Arabidopsis thaliana: one gene and its partners. The protein of the gene in region 3 interacts with the protein of the main gene of each other region in a pairwise test. Each region holds a gene or a part of one and is shown on either strand. Other genes may lie near its edges.

Evidence for each region. Proteins that work in one complex are often made in the same cells at the same time.
Region 1: the proteins of AT3G28270 (region 3) and TSA1 interact in a two-hybrid assay, tested with the Arabidopsis thaliana proteins (one study listed by BioGRID).
Region 2: the proteins of AT3G28270 (region 3) and NAI2 interact in a two-hybrid assay, tested with the Arabidopsis thaliana proteins (one study listed by BioGRID).

Annotation. Positions count from the first base shown.
Region 1 is NC_003070.9:19,518,903-19,526,193, forward strand, and holds TSA1 (TSK-associating protein 1), read left to right. Parts: upstream 1-1,700; 5' UTR 1,701-1,859; coding exon 1,860-1,949; intron 1,950-2,026; coding exon 2,027-2,078; intron 2,079-2,176; coding exon 2,177-2,218; intron 2,219-2,301; coding exon 2,302-2,387; intron 2,388-2,527; coding exon 2,528-2,597; intron 2,598-2,737; coding exon 2,738-2,812; intron 2,813-2,895; coding exon 2,896-2,943; intron 2,944-3,042; coding exon 3,043-3,108; intron 3,109-3,196; coding exon 3,197-3,244; intron 3,245-3,344; coding exon 3,345-3,413; intron 3,414-3,499; coding exon 3,500-3,547; intron 3,548-3,671; coding exon 3,672-3,740; intron 3,741-3,809; coding exon 3,810-3,857; intron 3,858-3,955; coding exon 3,956-4,024; intron 4,025-4,121; coding exon 4,122-4,169; intron 4,170-4,266; coding exon 4,267-4,326; intron 4,327-4,401; coding exon 4,402-4,455; intron 4,456-4,536; coding exon 4,537-4,599; intron 4,600-4,692; coding exon 4,693-4,740; intron 4,741-4,816; and 15 more. Other genes in the region: AT1G52415 (Bifunctional inhibitor/lipid-transfer protein/seed storage 2S albumin superfamily protein), read left to right, coding at 7,264-7,291. UniProt on the Arabidopsis thaliana protein: Involved in seedling development in the dark. May be involved, when interacting with TSK, in the organization of spindle microtubules and may participate, when interacting with GIP1, in structural links between the nuclear envelope and the cytoskeleton.
Region 2 is NC_003074.8:5,397,037-5,404,258, forward strand, and holds NAI2 (DNA topoisomerase-like protein), read right to left. Parts: upstream 5,617-7,222; 5' UTR 5,575-5,616; coding exon 5,500-5,574; intron 5,406-5,499; coding exon 5,351-5,405; intron 5,274-5,350; coding exon 5,232-5,273; intron 5,138-5,231; coding exon 5,022-5,137; intron 4,909-5,021; coding exon 4,839-4,908; intron 4,716-4,838; coding exon 4,641-4,715; intron 4,555-4,640; coding exon 4,507-4,554; intron 4,418-4,506; coding exon 4,352-4,417; intron 4,258-4,351; coding exon 4,210-4,257; intron 4,110-4,209; coding exon 4,044-4,109; intron 3,958-4,043; coding exon 3,910-3,957; intron 3,819-3,909; coding exon 3,756-3,818; intron 3,667-3,755; coding exon 3,619-3,666; intron 3,523-3,618; coding exon 3,448-3,522; intron 3,364-3,447; coding exon 3,316-3,363; intron 3,223-3,315; coding exon 3,157-3,222; intron 3,066-3,156; coding exon 3,018-3,065; intron 2,933-3,017; coding exon 2,867-2,932; intron 2,782-2,866; coding exon 2,734-2,781; intron 2,636-2,733; and 19 more. Other genes in the region: AT3G15960 (mismatched DNA binding / ATP binding protein), read right to left, coding at 6,964-7,222. UniProt on the Arabidopsis thaliana protein: Responsible for the ER body formation. Regulates the number and shape of the ER bodies and the accumulation of PYK10 in ER bodies, but is not involved in the expression of PYK10.
Region 3 is NC_003074.8:10,536,024-10,540,582, reverse strand, and holds AT3G28270 (transmembrane protein, putative (DUF677)), read right to left. Parts: upstream 2,579-4,559; 5' UTR 2,412-2,578; exon of another isoform or gene 1,870-2,411; 5' UTR 1,859-1,869; coding exon 734-1,858; 3' UTR 513-733; downstream 1-512.

The DNA.
Region 1 (7,291 bases), on a different chromosome or scaffold from region 3:
GTACCGAATTGTTATTTTTGTTTGTTTGTAATACAGGAGAACGCTGATTAGAAGTCCATATTAATCTACTTGACATGTATAGGTAGAATTATTCAGAACCAAGAAGACATGCATGCTATGTCTATATGTATATGGCGGATATGGAAATTTATTTGATAAAATGAATTAATGTTTATAAAAAGCATATCATAAAAATAAAATAACACATCCTATAATGGTTTTAATAACAGGTAGAAGAACTTCCCGAACGTGTTTTAACCCATTGATATGTAGGTTGAATTATTCAGAAATGAGAAGACATGCATGCTCCAAAATTATGTACAATCATTTCACGGATAAAAGCAAAATAGTTGATAATATATATATTTTGTTTGAAAAAGGGTTATAATTGAGACGATATATTTACGTGTTCTCTGATTCATATACTACTGTCTAGTGATATATAAACTTTTATATATTTATAACATAATACTAATCTCAAAAAAAAAAAAAATATTAGTAATCGATATATATCACATGTTGCACGTTGAGACAACATATATCTTTCTACTAGTACTGAACTTATATTTGTCCGCTCTGGACTACGACGTCACACGGGAGCCATGCATTTAACTATTCCATCAAGGGACCATCAAACCTAGAGACACTATTGGATAATTTATTGTTTGAAGAAAAAAAAATTATTGCGTAGTTTAAATTATTCACTTATTAATAGTTAATAGAAATTGAAAAGCGATATTACAACAATAATATTCTTTACTTTGGATAGAGTCGTATAGAGAATTAAAAATATATATTCCAATTATTAAATATAAAGTTAATTATAGAAAGATTGCATTTGGGTACATGTAATGCGAACTTATGAGTTCTTCAAATTTAAAGGCACTAATTCACTTTTTCAAAAGCCAAGAAGTAATTATTTTATTTGGAGTTTTAAAGTTGTTTCAGGGTTTTATCATTTTGAACAGTGAAAAAGTCCCTATTTCTATAATTATAGCCTTTGAAAAATGCCTACTTTCACACGAATTTTATGAAAAGTTTGTAAAATCCCTTAAATGTGATTATATATACTGAAAAAAGAGGTTCTAAAATCTTCTTAAGGTTTCAAGTTTTATTTCTGGTTCAACATATAGAAGAGACATTAATAATAATGACCCTAGCTAGCATTCTCCACAAAATTAAGTATGGAGGATGAGTCTGTCCATGGATTGATATCCAAATTCATGACTAGACAGAATTAACGCAAAAAATCGAAATTCCACAATATTGACAAAATGAAATATAAAGTCATTAATTTTTTTAGAGTTGTGAGTTTGTTTTTTTACGTAATAATAGTTTTAAAAAATTTAATTTACATAATAGAAAACTAATAAAAGTATTTTTACTATGTCAAAAAATATAAGAAAACAAACCAACGTAACACATAAAAAAATGAGATGTTCAAAAACGAATTTGTACGAGCTTGACCACTTAACTATTGAGCAATCTGATTTGGGAATGGAAGGCATAACCAAAAAAAAAAGAGATGTGTTTTTAAAAAAATTGACTTTATTAAAATAAATATTTCTATCTTAGTTATTCCATCAATAGTTTTTTTTTTGTTTTTTTTCCTATTTCCATGATATTATTATTTTCAATAAAATTATAAAATGTCACATTTACTAATATTAATTATATTATTTCACATCTAGCTGTTTAACTTTTGCTACACACAAAATGAGTTATCTAGAAGAAGAGCCACGAGATAAAAGAATGAAATCCACGTTTAAGTTAGTTACAACGGTTTTATTTTATAAGCGTATCCATAGCTATGTGATGCTTCTTCAAGCTTAAAGATTTTGTGTATCCTCGTTCTTGTAATGGAAATCTACACCATGAAAACGAATTTTCTTGTACTGGCTTTGTCTTTGTGTATCCTTCTTTCAAGCTTCCATGAGGTTTCTTGTCAGGTAGAAAAAAACATGTCTTTTAATTATTTTTCTTTCAACCTTAAAAATAATTTTCAACGCATCTTGTATCTTTTTAGGATGATGGTAGTGGTTTGAGTAATTTGGATCTAATAGAACGTGATTATCAAGGTAAGGACATTCTCAGAAATACCGACACTTATCCAAGGTTTTCTTTCTTTTTATTTGTTTTCTTGGATTGATTTTAGGTTCTCTTTTTTTCTTTCTAGATAGTGTCAATGCTCTTCAAGGCAAGGACGATGAAGATCAGTGTAAGATCTCTCTCTCTATATCTCTTTCTTGATTCTATTTTTGTTATGTTTGTGACAGCTTCTATGTTTCTGTGTGTCTTCAGCTGCAAAGATACAGAGTGAAAACCAGAATAACACTACAGTGACTGATAAGAACACTATTTCTCTATCTCTATCAGATGAATCTGAGGTTAGGGTTTAGCTTTTGTTGCGTTGCTCTTTAAGTTTAGATTTGGATTCTAATTAATGAAAGTAATAAAGAGATTCCTGCAAAGTAGTTTTTTGTAAACTTAATTAAGGTGAATTTTTGTCTTTGCTGTGTGTGTTTAGGTTGGATCTGTTAGTGATGAAAGCGTTGGACGTTCGAGTCTGTTGGATCAAATCAAACTTGAATTCGAAGGTATCTCAAGATCTTGATCTTAGTGATTGTGTTTATGGTGTGAAACATGAAAGGCCCTTATTTATTTTACTATATAGTTAATCAGAAATTGATGTTTAGTAAAGTTTTTGTATATAATTGTGTATCATGATTAATTGCAGCTCATCACAATAGTATTAACCAAGCTGGATCTGATGGTGTCAAGGCTGAATCCAAGGATGATGATGAAGAATTATGTAAGATTTTCTTCTATGAAATTCTTTGTTTCTTCAATAGTTCTTTCTTTTGCTGATGTAGTTGTTATTGTGTCTTGTTTCAGCTGCTCATAGACAGAAAATGTTGGAAGAAATCGAACATGAGTTTGAAGGTTGTCTCATAGATTATACATCTAGCTAGCTTATAGTTAGTTCACTTATAAAAAAAAGTTTGTTAATCTGACTTCTTTTGCTTCTCCTACTTGTTGCAGCTGCTTCAGATAGTCTGAAACAACTAAAGACTGATGATGTAAACGAAGGAAATGATGAAGAACATTGTAAAAGACTCCTTCTCTTGACTCCATTTTGTCCTTGCCATAATATGATACACTGAAACAGGTTTTGTATCACTTGTTACACTTACAGCTGCAAAGAGGCAAAGTTTGTTGGAAGAGATCGAACGTGAGTTTGAAGGTATATTCTCAACATACATGTCTTAGATAGCTCCTCTGTTTTGAGATAAAATCTTGAATCTAATAGTTAGCTTTTTCTTCTGTTTCATCTCATACCTTAGCTGCTACAAAAGAACTTGAACAACTAAAGGTTAATGACTTCACCGGGGACAAAGATGACGAAGAACACTGTAATAAACCTCTTCAATTTCAGATTTATCTGTTCCCTTTGTCTCTATTTGAGTATTTTGTGACTGATTATGTGTCTTTGTTACAGCTGCAAAGAGAAAAAGTATGCTTGAAGCTATTGAACGCGAGTTTGAAGGTATCTTGAGACACCAGTATGTTTCAATATGTTCTAAGAAGAATGCAGAAACCATTATAAATCAATCTGAGTATCATCTAAGAGTTTGTTTGTGTGATTTTCTATTTCAATCTCCTACTTGCAGCTGCTATGGAAGGCATTGAAGCACTTAAGGTTTCTGATTCCACAGGAAGCGGAGATGATGAAGAACAATGTAAAGTCACATATAGTCCTTTTTGGTTTTCTCTTATCCATTTCCACTGAAGCTGCTATCTTGTTACAGCTGCAAAGAGACTAAGTATGCTTGAAGAGATCGAACGGGAATTTGAAGGTACTTTGTATATATACCACAAACTGTCTTAATCATATGATTCGTAAAGAAAATTGTGTGTTACTTAATAATATGTTTCTGTGTTCTGTTTCTCATAGCTGCTTCAAAAGGTCTTGAACAACTAAGGGCTAGCGATTCAACCGCGGACAATAACGAAGAAGAACACGGTATGAAACGTTTGCGGTTTGTCCCATCTTCTTTATCTAATTCCTTTTCCTGCATACAGTTTTCTGAATCAGATTGAATATACTGTCATAAAAACAGCTGCAAAGGGACAAAGTTTGTTAGAAGAGATCGAACGAGAGTTCGAAGGTATCTCCTACATAACATTTACTAAGAGTCTTAATTAGTTCACATCCCAACCCTGAGTAATATCTGAGAGTCTTATATCTACATTTATCACTTGCAGCTGCTACAGAGAGCCTTAAGCAACTTCAAGTTGATGATTCTACTGAAGACAAAGAACACTGTAAAGCACTCTTCTTCTTATTATCTGCTATTCTTTCTCTATGGTTATCTGAATCAGGCTTTGAATGTATTGTAGTTACAGCTGCAAAGAGGCAAAGTCTGCTGGAAGAGATTGAACGTGAATTTGAAGGTTATCTTTAATATCAAATATAGAAAACTAAACATGGAGAATAGTGTTTTTAAGAATGTGTTTATTGTCTTCTATTTGCAGCTGCAACAAAAGATCTTAAACAACTAAATGATTTCACTGAAGGCAGTGCTGATGATGAACAATGTAAATATCTTTCTTTTTCTGCGGGTTTTCGACTCTTTTTCTTCCTTACAGTATTCTGAGCCTATTCTTCTTGTATCTTGATCTTTATTACAGCTGCAAAGAGAAACAAAATGTTGGAAGATATCGAACGCGAATTTGAAGGTAATCTATCCTCACATACCATTTATCTCACACTCTTTTTTAGATCCTAATTTTCTGTAATTTTATAATTTTGTAGCTGCTACAATAGGTCTTGAACAACTAAAGGCTAATGATTTCTCTGAAGGCAATAATAATGAAGAACAATGTAAGAAACAACAAAAACTCTTCTTGATTCACTTTCTTCACCACAGTATTCTGAGACAGAGTTAGTTATCTCTTGTTATATAGCTGCAAAGAGAAAGAGTATGCTTGAAGAGATCGAACGCGAGTTCGAAGGTATGTCAACATATAAGTATCTGTCTCATCAGCTCATATTCTTCAGAGGAAATCTTGAACCTGTTTTCATCTTCTACTTGCAGCTGCTATTGGAGGTCTTAAACAGATCAAAGTTGATGATTCCAGAAATCTTGAAGAAGAATGTAAACTCTCTGATCCATTTTTTCTCTTTAAAACCTTCTCATACAAAATTTGTAACTGTTTTGGTTATAATTTTTTGTTTCAGCTGCTAAGAGAAAGATAATTTTGGAAGAGATGGAACGTGAATTTGAAGGTACTCCAAGATTCTATTACTGATCTCTTCTAAGTTCTAAGTAAAGAAAGTATAGATTGACAGTTTCTGATTCCAACCTTCTTGTTCTGCAGAAGCACACAGTGGTATTAATGCAAAGGCTGACAAAGAAGAATGTAAGAAACAACCAAAAGTCTTTAACTTTTTTGCTTCACTCACTGTCTCAAAATATTTTTCTAAGACAATTCTTGTTCTCACAGCTGCAAAGAAACAGAGTGGCTCTGCTATACCAGAGGTTCTTGGACTAGGACAGTCAGGTGGTTGTAGCTGTTCTAAACAAGACGAAGATTCCTCGATTGTTATACCAACAAAATATAGCATAGAAGATATCCTCTCTGAAGAATCTGCAGTCCAGGTTTTTGTTTTAAACCTTTTCTTGAACAGCAAGAAAGTGATCAGAATCACAATCTCTAAAGTCTAATTCCTATGTTTTCATGATTTTTCAGGGAACAGAGACTTCTAGTCTCACCGCGTCTTTGACTCAACTCGTTGAGAATCACAGGAAAGAAAAGGAATCTCTACTCGGACACAGAGTTCTCACTTCTCCTTCTATAGCTTCTTCCACAAGCGAATCATCTGCTACATCAGAGACTGTAGAAACCCTAAGGGCTAAACTGAATGAGCTTCGCGGCTTAACCGCTCGTGAGCTTGTGACACGTAAAGATTTCGGTCAGATTCTCATTACGGCTGCGAGTTTTGAAGAGCTAAGTTCAGCTCCAATCAGTTACATTTCTAGGTTAGCTAAATACAGAAACGTCATCAAAGAAGGACTTGAAGCTTCTGAGAGAGTTCACATCGCGCAGGTACGAGCAAAAATGCTCAAAGAAGTTGCCACGGAGAAGCAAACCGCCGTGGACACTCATTTCGCAACCGCTAAAAAGCTTGCTCAAGAAGGAGACGCGTTGTTCGTTAAAATCTTCGCAATCAAGAAACTGTTGGCGAAACTTGAAGCAGAGAAAGAATCTGTTGATGGAAAGTTTAAGGAGACTGTGAAAGAACTTTCTCATCTTCTGGCTGATGCTTCTGAGGCTTACGAAGAGTATCATGGCGCGGTGAGGAAGGCGAAAGACGAGCAAGCGGCTGAGGAATTTGCGAAAGAGGCGACGCAAAGTGCAGAGATCATTTGGGTTAAGTTTCTTAGTTCTCTTTAGAGAACAATTGAGATTCTTGGTTGTGTTAAGAGCAAATCTAGAGCTCTTGTTGGTTCTTGTTATGTATTTTGTGATGATGTTCTGTTTCAGAGTTTGTGTGTTGGTTGTATCAGGAGAAAGAGGCTGGGAGATAGAGAGAAAGAGAGTCTCTGCGAAAACTAATAATGTTTTTTCAGATATCTAAATAATAAGCTTTTTGCATACATTGTATTGTAAATTTGTAACATTCTTCTCCTCTCTTCCAATGATTTTTTTTTCTTGTTGACTATTCTTACTAAATAACGATGAGGTAAAATATAGGTAAATGATTATCATTTTTTTTTTACTTGCTATATCATTTCAACTGGGAGAGGTTAAAAATACAAAAATAGCTTTAAGCCTTTAATAACAATATTGGCAAAGTATTTTACTATGAGATAGAAAAATGGTTTTTGGTGTCCACTATAAAAACAACTAGAATGATCGGTCAATTTGAATTTACAAGGAACATTGAAGTTCTCACTTCTAATCTATTCTGATTTACTCTGAAATTTTAGTTATAGTTTGACCTACTAATTAAAATACTCTAAACTAAAACGTACTAGTGTTTTTTTTTTTTAAACGTACTAGTTGAATCCGAGAAACGCTCAACTCACCGTTTTTTTTTTGTTTTAAATAATTCACACGCGGCCGAATGCATTAAAATCTCGCATGCGTTTATTAAGTTGAATTTTCTGTTAAAAGTATATAAGATAGTGTTACGATTACGTTTATTAGGTAGAGAGATATAGTAAGACCAAACAAATAAAACAAAAAATTTGCTACATGGTTAGGATGATGATGAAAGTAGCGT
Region 2 (7,222 bases), 5.1 Mb from region 3:
CAAATAATGATCGTTTTGCTTTTTCCGAGTATGATTTGGGTCACACGTGTTAGCGACTCGTGTGGGATAATCTCTTTTCTTTATTTTTACGTGTGAATTTTTCTAGGACATCTTTAAAATATTAACTCATGATATAATTTAAATTTGATTTATAAAAAAATGACAACATTATAGAACATTTTCCTCACTCAAGTCAAATGTAATATTACTTAAATTTGTTGAATTTTAAAAATAAAATTAGTAGCCGACAAAAAATAAATATTGAAGTAGTTACAACGTCCTTTTTTTGTCAATTTATCAGGAAAATGTTAGATGAACTAATCTCTGTTTTATGTGATTTATTTACTAATAAACTGCAATTGCAAGAAATAAAGACACTCGATTTCTGATTTTAGCACTTTAACTCTTATTTCTTGCTAGTTCTGGCCTATATAATTGTCAATCTTGGAAAAAACATGCCTGAATATCATGATTCATATTAAAAAAAAAAAAACATGATTTTACCTTTTTGCAGTATTATCAATGAGCATATATAAGAAAAAAAAAGGTTTTATTATAAGACGACTAAAACATTATTTGTGTTTCACAAATCTCTCATTTATCTATCTCTCTCAAAGGTTTTTCAACCTCTCTCCCCTGATATAAGCAACAAACAAAGTCTCAAACAAAACAACACAAGAAAATAAAACACAAGAACCACAACTAATTGAACATGTGCTTTAACCACAATCAAGAATCTCATTAGTTCAATTAAGTGAACTAAGAAACTCAACCCAAATATGTTCTGCTCTCTTTGTCGTCTCCACCGCAAATTCCTCAGCCGCTTGCTCGTCCTTTGCCTTATGCACCGCCTCGTGATACTCTTCGTAAGCCTGTGACGCCTCCTTGAGAAGCTCTGACAGACTCGTCGTTAAAGAGGTGAACTTTGAATCAACGTCCACTTTCTCTGCTTCTAGCTTTGCCAACAGTTTCTTGATCGCTACGATTCTGATGTGCAACGCGTCTCCTCTTTGAGCAGTGGTCTTTGCTGCTGCGAAAACCGAGTCTACGGTTCTCTGCTTCTCCATTGCGGTTTCTTTTAGCAGTTTGGCTCGGGTTTGAGCAATCTGGACTCTCTGAGAAGCCTCGAGTCCTTCTTTAATGACGGTTTTGTATTTGGCTAGCAAAGAGATGTAACCAATAGAAGCTGAGCTGAGTACCTCGTAACGTGTACCGGCTGCTATAATCGCATCGAAATTCGGGTGGTTTACGAGATCACGTGCGCTTAGACCGCGTAGCTTCCTTAGTGTTTGCTTTAAGCTCTCTATGCTCTCTGATGTAGCCGCTGATTCGCTTGTGGTAGAAGTAACTGATGAAGATGAGCCAAGGACTGAGCCTACCTTTGAGGACGTTTCTTTTCTATGAGTATCAACAAGATTGTTCAATGATGTGGTGAGCCGAGAGGTCCCTGAGCCCTACCAAAGTCAAAAGCAAAAGATATAAACAAAAATGAGATTGGTTTAGATGTGAGAGCCTTCCATTGTCTATTCAAGAAAGATCTATAAAACAAACCTGTAATTTGGATTCTTCTGCGAGTATCTCCGCTATGTTAATCGAAGAATCAGTGTCTGCCTGAAGACCATCTTTATCCTTGTTGAAACAACCACATACACCATCTGCAAGAAACAATAACAGAGAGAAGACAATTAAGATTAGCACTCTTGTGACTTTCTTCGGTTAAAAACATTCACAAGAATGAATAAGCTTTAAAGCTAACCTGCAGGCTTTAGAAGACCTTCTAAACCAGCTGAAAAATAAAGAACATATAAACATTGAGATCTTGTTTCTTTTTGGGAAAATATTTGTTTGTGAGAATCTGAAGATTATATTACCATTGTATCCGCCAGAAGATTTCTGCACTGTAGTACTTATGGTTGATGGATTCTTTGCAGCTGTTGTGACAAAACATCTCAGACAAAAACTTAAAAGATAGAAAATGACATAAGGAAAAATATCAACAAGCTTTCTTACAGTTTTCTCCATTAGCCTTTGCATTTGTAGCAGCTGCAAATTAGAAAAATGAACAAGAAGATGAAACCAAACTGTCATATTATATACTATCCTTGTTTCTATATGAATTCATGCGTTTGGTTCTTAAGGTTACCTTCAAATTCGCGTTCGAATGCTTCCAACATACTGTTTCTCTTGTTTTCAGCTGTTAACAAAAAATAAACATCGTCTTAAAAACTTGTCTCAGATGGATTTGAGAGGAGCAAAAGGATCAGATTATTTACCTTGTTCTGATTCATTCTTTAACTCTTCAAGGCCTTTTGTCGCGGCTGAAACAAGAAATAAGAAACTCAGATTACTTTGATCACTTTTATATGATTCCGATTCATCTAGTTATCAAGGCTTGGTCACCAACAATGGCTCAAGAATATATGTTAAAGTACCTTCAAACTCGCGTTCAATAGCTTCAAGCATAATTTTTCTCCTTGCAACTGTAACAAAACATGGAAACAGAGCTGGCTCAGGATACAACAGAACAATATATACAAAATAGAGGAATATGGGGAAGAATAGTTACCGTGTTCATCATCATCCTTGTCGCCGGTTGAATCATTAGCCTTTAGCTCTTCAAGACCTTTTGTAGCAGCTGCGAGTAAGAAAATAAAAGAGAAGAAACTTAAGTACTTGACCTTTTAGAATGGATTTACATTTCAGCTAGGAAGTTCAATGTTATGTGAAAATGACCTTCAAACTCGCGTTCGATAGCTTCAAGCATACTATTTCTCCTTGCAGCTGTATCAAAACATACAAAAAAATCTTCAAAATACTATAGAAGATGCAAATATGATCAGAGAAAGTAGAGAGGACAAGTTATTACATTCTGCACTGTCATCTCCTTCACTGAAATCGTCAAGGTTTAGTTGCTTAAGACTATTTGTAGCAGCTGCAAAGTAGTTTGATAAACAGAGGAAATAATTCAAGATTTTATATGGGAACCATAAGAACTAATTAACATCAATAATAAGTACCTTCAAATTCACGTTCAATCTCATCCAACATACTTTGCCTCTTTGCAGCTGATTAAAAAGACATAAAAACCTCTCTCAGAATAACACTACAATAAAGGTAAATGAACCAAAAAATGTTGAGTGGAAAGATTTTTCTTACATTCGTCGTCTCCTTCAGCTTTGTTATCGGCGATATCTTCAAGTTGTTTAAAACTCTCGGTAACGGCTGCAAGAGAGAAAAAAAAAACTCTTAGAACTTCTTTGAACAATAAAGAGTTAAAGATTCTCTCTGCATATGATGATTGGTATGTCGATTTACCTTCAAACTCACGTTCAATTGCATCTAGCATACTTTGTCTTTTGGCATCTGTAAATAAAGCATAACATCTAGCTATCTCAGAAAACTAAATGAGGGACATAAGTTATCAAAGTAGAGATAACAGTTTCTTACCTTGTTCTTTATCATCAACATCATCTTTGACAGTGTGAGCATTAATCTTTAGCTCTTTAAGACCACTTGTAGCAGCTGCAAGTACAAAGATGAAACATAATCATAAATCCAATAAGTCTCAACACAAATATTGTGAATCAATTAAGACAGATATTGAGTGTGTCAAAATACCTTCAAACTCCCGTTCGATCTCATCTAGCATATTCTGTCTCTTTGCAGCTATAACAATAACAAGACATTAGATTTGTGTTCTGAGTAGTGTATCTGAGACTAAAAGATCATTTAAATAGAGGGAAACAAAAGATTACATTGTGCTTCATCATCTGTGCTTGAGGTAGAATGCCTTAGTTCTTCAAGACCTTTTGTAGCTTCTGCAAACAGAGGAATTACAGAGTCTAAGATGGTTCTCAAGAAGATATTTCATTAAAGACTTATTGGTTATACTTATACGTTTCAAGATACCTTCAAACTCTCTTTCGATCTCTTCAAGCATCTTTTGTCTCTTTGCAGCTACAACAAGATAACAAAATCCGACTCAAGAATACTGTAATACAGACAAAGGCATCAAACAACGTGAAACATAGAGGTTTCTTTACCGTGTTCTTCATCGTTGATTCCAGTTAAATCATCAGCCTTTAGTTGCTCAAGACCTTTTGTAGCAGCTGCAAGTGGAAATGGAACAGAAGACACAACCCAATTGTTACTTCAACTTTTCAGGTTCAAGAACTTAAGTAAACAAGAATAAAGATTTTGTAGAGAGACCTTCAAAATCACGTTCAATCTCGTCCAACATGCTTTGTCTCTTTGCAGCTGTAACAAAAAGAACAGAGAAATTGGACTTAGAATGTTGAAGAAGAACCAAAATGTGATCGTAACTAGTACTAGACAAAGAGTGTTTAGTTACATTGTTCATCATCTAATCCTTGGGCGGAATCATCAGTCTTTAGTTGTTCAAATCCAGCATGAGCAGCTGCAAGTAAATCTCTGTAAGTAAGACTCTACCAAAACAATGGTTTCAAAAATATAAACTTCAAGCTAGACAGAAACATTGATAGGTACCTTCAAATTCACGTTCAATGGCTTCCAACATTTTATGTCTCCTTGCAGCTAAAACAACAAAGAAAGTATAAGAGAAATCTCTTAGCACAAAGGTATCTGATCAAAGAGACGTGTTCTTTTCTTTTCTTTTTAACCTTCTTCATCATCTTTAGATTCCTCAACTTTGTTGATACCATCAGATCCAGCTTCTTTAAGTTCATTGATATGTGCTATAATCAAGAACACACAAACAAACTCTTCATGTCAATATTTTGATCCAAGCCTCTTCCATAGACATAATTATGAGACTTTTAAGAAAACAGTGCAAATACAGAGTAAAGGTCTCGACTTACCTTCGAACTCAAGTTCAATATGGTCCAACATACTTGAAGGTTTATCGACTTCATCAGTAACAGCTCCTAACTATATAGATCCAAAGTAGAAGAAACCAGATATTAAATTTCAGGAGTCTTTAAAACATAGTCATCCTAAACCAAAATCCAATCCCAAAAGTTAATTCATAGACAGGAATTAACCTCAGCTGATGTATCAACAGATTCTTTAAGAGTTTCCAATGCAGGTTCTTCAGATAGAGACAAAGAAATAGTGTTGTTATCAGACACTGTACTGTTTTTCTGACCACTGGTCTCAGCTGATTCCACACACACAACACAGTGACTATATCAAATAACAAATTGCAGAAGAAGAAAAGAAACAAGAAAGAGAGACAGAGAGAAAGGTCTTACTTTGATCTACTGCTTCATTGCCTTGGAGAGAATTGACACTAGCTGCAACCAAATGATAATTTTAAGAGAATTGTGTTTCATCTAAAAGATTATTCAGACAAATATATCGTAAGCCTTACTTTGATATTCATGCTCAATTAGATCTAAAGTACTCAAACTTCCAGTTCCTTCATCCTAAAACCAAAAGTCAAATGCGTTTGAATATCAGTTGATCATTTCTTTATCGTAAAATATATATTGGTAAAGCAATTGTATTTTTGTGTACTACCTGGCAAGAAACTTGATAGAAGCTTGAGAGAACAAGACACAGAGACAAACCCAGAGCTAAAAACTTTGTTCCCATGGTGGAAGATTGTTATCACAAAGATCAAAATACACTGTGTTGTGAAGCTTGAGGAAAAACAAGACTTTAAATAAAACCAAAGTAAAATAACTCAACGTGGCTTTTTAATTTAATAATAGAATTCACGTGGCTTTTATTTTTATATATATTCCACGTTCCTAATTACAAAGAATTCAACGCTATTTTTAATTTTATTCTTGTCTTCATTAGTTTCTGTGTATGTGAAACGCCTATAAATTATGATTATCCCACTCTTAATCTTGCCAAAAGAAAGACTAAGAAAAATGATATTTTTAAAAAAGTGAAAAAACGAAAAGTTTATTATTGAAATATATCTATAATGGAATCCACTAATGCTGGTAAATCCAACTATTAATCAGTTTAACTTACTACAATATTATGAAATAGAAGTATAATCATTAGAGTATAATTAATTATCCTCATAGGCCATAGTCCACGTATTGTGAACTACTTTGCTGATATAAATAAATAATGCGATGTTCACTACACTACTACCAAATCGTATCTGTTAGACTTGGTATTTATTTATACTATAAGATAATATTAGCGTGCTACATGAGAAAATTAAATACATATATATGATTGTACTTGTACAGAACTGACAACCACATGTGTCACGACCCTAAAACTCAATGATCGGCTATAATTAAATTTTCGTTCGGCAGTAAATTCAATATCAAACCTTTTAGCTTGACTTAATTTTCTAGTTTACTTTTTAACCAATCCACTTTTTCCTAATACTAAAAATATGAAAAAATCTTGTAAAATAATAAACCTGAAGTCTCTCTCTAAATATTGATATTTTAACGTCTCTATAGATAATTAGTAGACGACAGCTTGACGATAGACGAGTCAGATTCGATTCGATTCGATCCGATCCGATTAGAGAATATAATATTGAGAGGGGACACATTGACATTGTTTATCCGGAAGTAACGCGACCTAGCTGCCCATGTATCATCCATTTCGTTGCTCTTCGATCTATTCCTAAAACGTGCTACATAGAGGGATACTATTAATAAAACAAAACTGATTTGAAGTAAGAAAAATAACTACACAAAAAAACTTATAGTTCTGTTATAAATAGAAATAATGTCTAGTGTCATATTTCATTACTGCTTTGGGCCACATAATGAAAGCTGAGTCATGTCTTTCGACCCCAAATAATTTTTTTTTAATGGTAATTGGTAAATTAATTATTATTCTTTACGAAGTATTTATATAATCTGCTGATATCATTAAAGTAAAGAGCAATTTGACAAGGCGCTCACATAAAAGCTTTATATTAGAAAGGGAAATGACAAGGAATAAGACATAAACAAGAGAGAAAGCATGTAATTAAAAGAGAAGAAAACAAAAGACTTGTCTCTAGAGAGTGCTGAGAAACTCAACCCAAACCATCTCTACCCTCTCAATGGCCTCACGCGAGAATTCCTCAGATGCTTGTTCCTCTTTCCACTTACGCACGACCACATGATACTCCTCGTAAGCTTGAGAAGCCTCCTCTATAACGCGTGATAGATTCGCAACTGTCTTTTCGAAAGTCATATCAACCTCATACTTCTCGGCCTCAAGTTTCGAAATCAGTTTCTTGATCGCAAATATTTTCACGTACAACATGTCTCCT
Region 3 (4,559 bases):
AGACATGTATCTGTGCTCACTCTCTCTCACTCACTCGTTTGTACTTAATTACTTGCATGCAAACAAAACAAAACGACACAATCGGGTTTATTTTTCAAGAGGCACAAGTAGCTAGGTGATGTAGATAACAAGTTTCAGTAATATAAAAGTTTTATATCATTCTTGTCTAAGAATGATCGCTTACTTTGGTTCTTCCCTCTCTTACTCCTCTGTGAAATCAATATTTTAACTAGGTTTGCATAGGATAACGATTCCAATTGGTTGGATCTACATAAGTAGAAGGGCTCGATCGATACCAATTGGTTGGATCTTCATCGTTAATGGCAAAAATCTATTTTCACGTCAATTCTCGTCCAAATATCTCAGATAGGATAATGAGTTTTATGATTATCCCAAAGGAAAAGTATATATTGATTTGATCTTATATTCTCCTTCCGAGCGTTAAAATTTTCATATTTCAAGATTAAATTTCGTACGCTTGGTTTAGGTAATTTTGTTTGGTCGAAAGAAAAAAAAAAGGTGATTTTATTTGGTCATTTAATTTGTGAAAAGATGAATAAAGCACAAGTTTTTTTCAAACTTTATTTCACGAATATACGGGATAGAGGTACATATCAACCAATCTCTCGGATGGTGAAATTACAAAACATATAATATTTTAAAAAGGTACAATGGGATGATTAAAACATACTAAAATATGGATTTTGAACAACAAACATCGTTAAACAAAAGATTAACGGTTGATCTTTTGCAGAACTTGAAGTCTGGCCTTTGCAATCAACTTGCTATGATCTTCCACACTTTCACCAACCTCCGTGATTTTCTTTGTTAATTTCTCTACTTTCTTACTGATCTGAGTTAGGACAATTCTCGTGGCCGCCTCATTATCTTCATGGTCAATAGCATTATCTACAAGTTTCAACATATTTTTGATACGGTCTTCTAGCCCGTCGACTAAAATCGATACGGTCTCCGTCGCTTCTTCGTTGGTTTTTATACCTTTCTCCACCGATTCTTCTATCTCTTCCACTTTCTTTAGACCTTCTAACTGTTTGTTCAGAGCATCCTTCTTTTTATCCAAGGTAGTGTAGACTCCAGCCCATCCTGCCGCAAGCAGTGGTGCGGCTAGAGCCCCAAAGCCGGCAGCCGCACCCACGCCTGTTGCAATTAGAGCTATGGATGCAACCGCAACAATAGCAAACGCAGCGCCGAAAACCACGTTCGTAATTAAAGTTTTTTTCTCTAGATTACTAATTTCGTCCTGAATCTTTTTTCTAGTCTCACTCACTTCCTCCAGAAGGGATTCTTGCTGCTTTTTGATCCGCTCGAACTGAGTTGTGAGAACTTTGCCGTCAAAGGGATCTCCCATCTCTTTAAAACTCTTGAGGTCCTCCAATGTTTTTTCATACTTCTTCTTTTTCCCACCAACATCTTTTTCTGCCGACTCTTTCTCAAACTCGGCCAAGGCCTCTCGAATGAGAAGTTGGCCCATTTCTGCGTTCTCGACGCAGTTCTCTATAGTTTTGAAAATCTCTAAAGTCTTTTTAGTATTTTCAAAATAGGCCAGGACCAAATACTTTAGAGCTTGGTTGTCCCACACATCGTCTTCGATTTCGGTAATGAAGTCTGCCACACCTTGGGTAACTTCAACTAGGTGCTTGGAGAGCTCCATGTGTGCGTCGTGTGGGGAGGACGAACCATTCTTGTCTTCAACGGTGAGTGAGTCTATCATTTTGTTGGTTCGCTGCTGAAGGGAAGCATCAAAGGATTTTAGTTTTGGGTGTTCTTCACAAGCAGATTTGTAAGCACTCATCATGTCTTCCGAGCATTTCAACATCAAATCTTTGGATAACGCCATCGATGATATTGCTGAAAGGAAAAATAATCAAGATAAGTTAGAGAGATTTAGGACAGTTTTAGAGGAGTTAACATCCACAAAGTAGTTATATAGGTTTTTTCTTCTGTTTATAAAAAGTGATTTTTTTAGTTGTCTTAGTGAATTTTTATTACTTTTTTTTTTGTGCAAAATGAATTTTTATTAGTTAATCTTAATAAATTGTTAATTTCAATGAGCGACAATTTTGAAAGTAATTGGATCTATCGACATTATATTCCTAGATTTTGTAGAATGGTTTTAAGAAAATATATTATCCTTGATAATGAAACATAGTTTTGTACGAATATTTCTATATTAATTTTAATATACATACATCATTCTCGATAATAATATTTATTTTATTTTCAAAACAATAATGTATTTGAATTTTACATAGAAAAAATACAGTTACCTGTAAAAATCATGAGGAAAAAGAAAATTATGATAATAAAAATAATATACGTACAACACAAAACATAATAAATTGATCATTAAACTACGAATAAAAAGAGAGTTGAAGAGAGAAAAACTTAACCAGAAATTGAATCAGAATCTTGCTCAATACTCTCACCAATATATATAATAGGTATGAAGTTTTGAATGATTTCTTGGGTTTGTAATTTACAAGTATTTATAGGAGAAACCTGTGTTGGCGAGCTCAAGTTGAGTGATGAGGATTTAAGATAGAATGAAAGAAATGTCGATAACGATTTTTTTGTTTTATGTGGGTTATTGTGATATAAAGATGTGGTTTTGATTTTTATTTTTATTTTTTTTATTTGAGTAATATTAAATGGGAAAAGAGAGAAATGAGACAAGGATTTTGGGTCTATAGGAAGAAAACAGATGGCACTTTCTAGAGAAGAAAAAGAATTTTGATGTGGTTGTGTAATCAGTGTGGCTCGTGTTTTGGTTTCTTGAAGCAAAAATAATCTTGTTATTTAGTCTTAAAAACCAAGGAAAATACTTTATAGTCTCGTTTTTATTTTGCCCAAAGAAATGTCTTGTTTATATTTGATTTGTCTGAGTTTGAGATGTGCAGAATGGTATTAGTTTAAAATTATTATTTTCGTTAGATGGTAACTGGAAATTAAGTTTGGAAGAGGAGTGGAGTGGCGTTGCCGGTGAAGTGATAAAATTATCAAGGCATGGGAGAATCTAACTGGAGCAATGGGGATTACGTGTTTAAGGGATTAGATGTTTAAGGTCCTAAGTTGAAGGAGTGGATTATTGACACGTCGTATATGAATAATTATTGGGTTCACAATCTTATTCATCCTTTTAATTGACTAATTAAAATATAATAATATACCATGTCTTATTATCTTTAAAAATAAATTAAAACTATAATCATAAAACAAAACAGATTAAGAAAACAAAATATCTACTAACCAAACCAACATATAACTCTATTTAATTGTAAAATCTAAATCAGACTTAATTTTTTATAAACCCAACCCAATATATAATTTTGTTTAATTATAATATCTAACCATAACCTCGTTGTTATAAATCCCAATCGATACATAATTTTGTTTAATTGTAAAATTCTAAACCCTAAACCCTAAGCCTTAAACCATAAATCCAAATTGACATCTAATTTGCATAAGTGTAAAATCTAAACCCTAATATTTATTTTATCAAACGCAAATCAACATACAATTAACCTTAAAATATACATATTTTGTTTCTTTAACTTGTTTTATATATAGGAGAAATCTGTGTTGGCGAGCTCAAGTTGAGTGATGATGAGGATTTAAGATAGAATGAAAGAAATGTCGATAATGATTTTTTGTTTTAAGTGAGTTTTTGTGTGGTGATATAAAGATGTGGTTTTAATTTTATTTTTTTGAGTAGTATTAAATGGGGAAAGAGAGAAATGAGACAAGGATTTTGGGTCTATATGAAAAAAACAGATGCCACTTTCTAGAGAAGAAAAAGAGTTTTGATGTGATTTGATGTGGTTGACTGGTTGTGTTTTGGTTTCTTGAAGTAAAAATACTCTGCGATATTGTTGTACATATGTTATTTAGTCTGCATGTTAAGAATCTTAAGATAATTGTTGAGGATGACCAAACATTTGTAGCGTTAAAAACCATGTAAAATACTTTATATATAGTCTTCTTTTTTTTTGGCTTAGTTTGAGATTTGCATATGTAATGGTAATAATTTTAAATTATTTAATTTGTTAAATTGTAACTGGAAGTTAAGTTTGGGAGAGGACTGGAGTGGCGTTGCCGGTAAAGTGATAAAGATATTAACGCATGGGAGGATCTAACTCGAGCAATGGAGATTGCGTGTTTAAGGGATTATATGTTTAAGGTCCATAGATTCGAATTTTTATAGTCTTTAAAAAATCGGTTAGTATATACTATTTATATACAACTAAAAAAGAAAGCAACCAAGTAAAGGAGTTGTCAATTAACAAAGTCTTAATATTATTTCTTGTACTTCGATGTTTTTTAATAATACCCGTTCTAATACGTTTTTTGTTTAAATAAATTTAATTATCGTAGATGAAATATACTCTTCTAGTAATCTATAAGCAAAATATTGGAATACCTAATGGAGGTAGTTAGACATATTTATCTGCACACAAAAAATGTGTGTTAGGTATATATGCATATGATGAGTACCAACGTTTCTTTTGGGTTTTGGGTTTTTATGTTTGGTGTAAAGAATT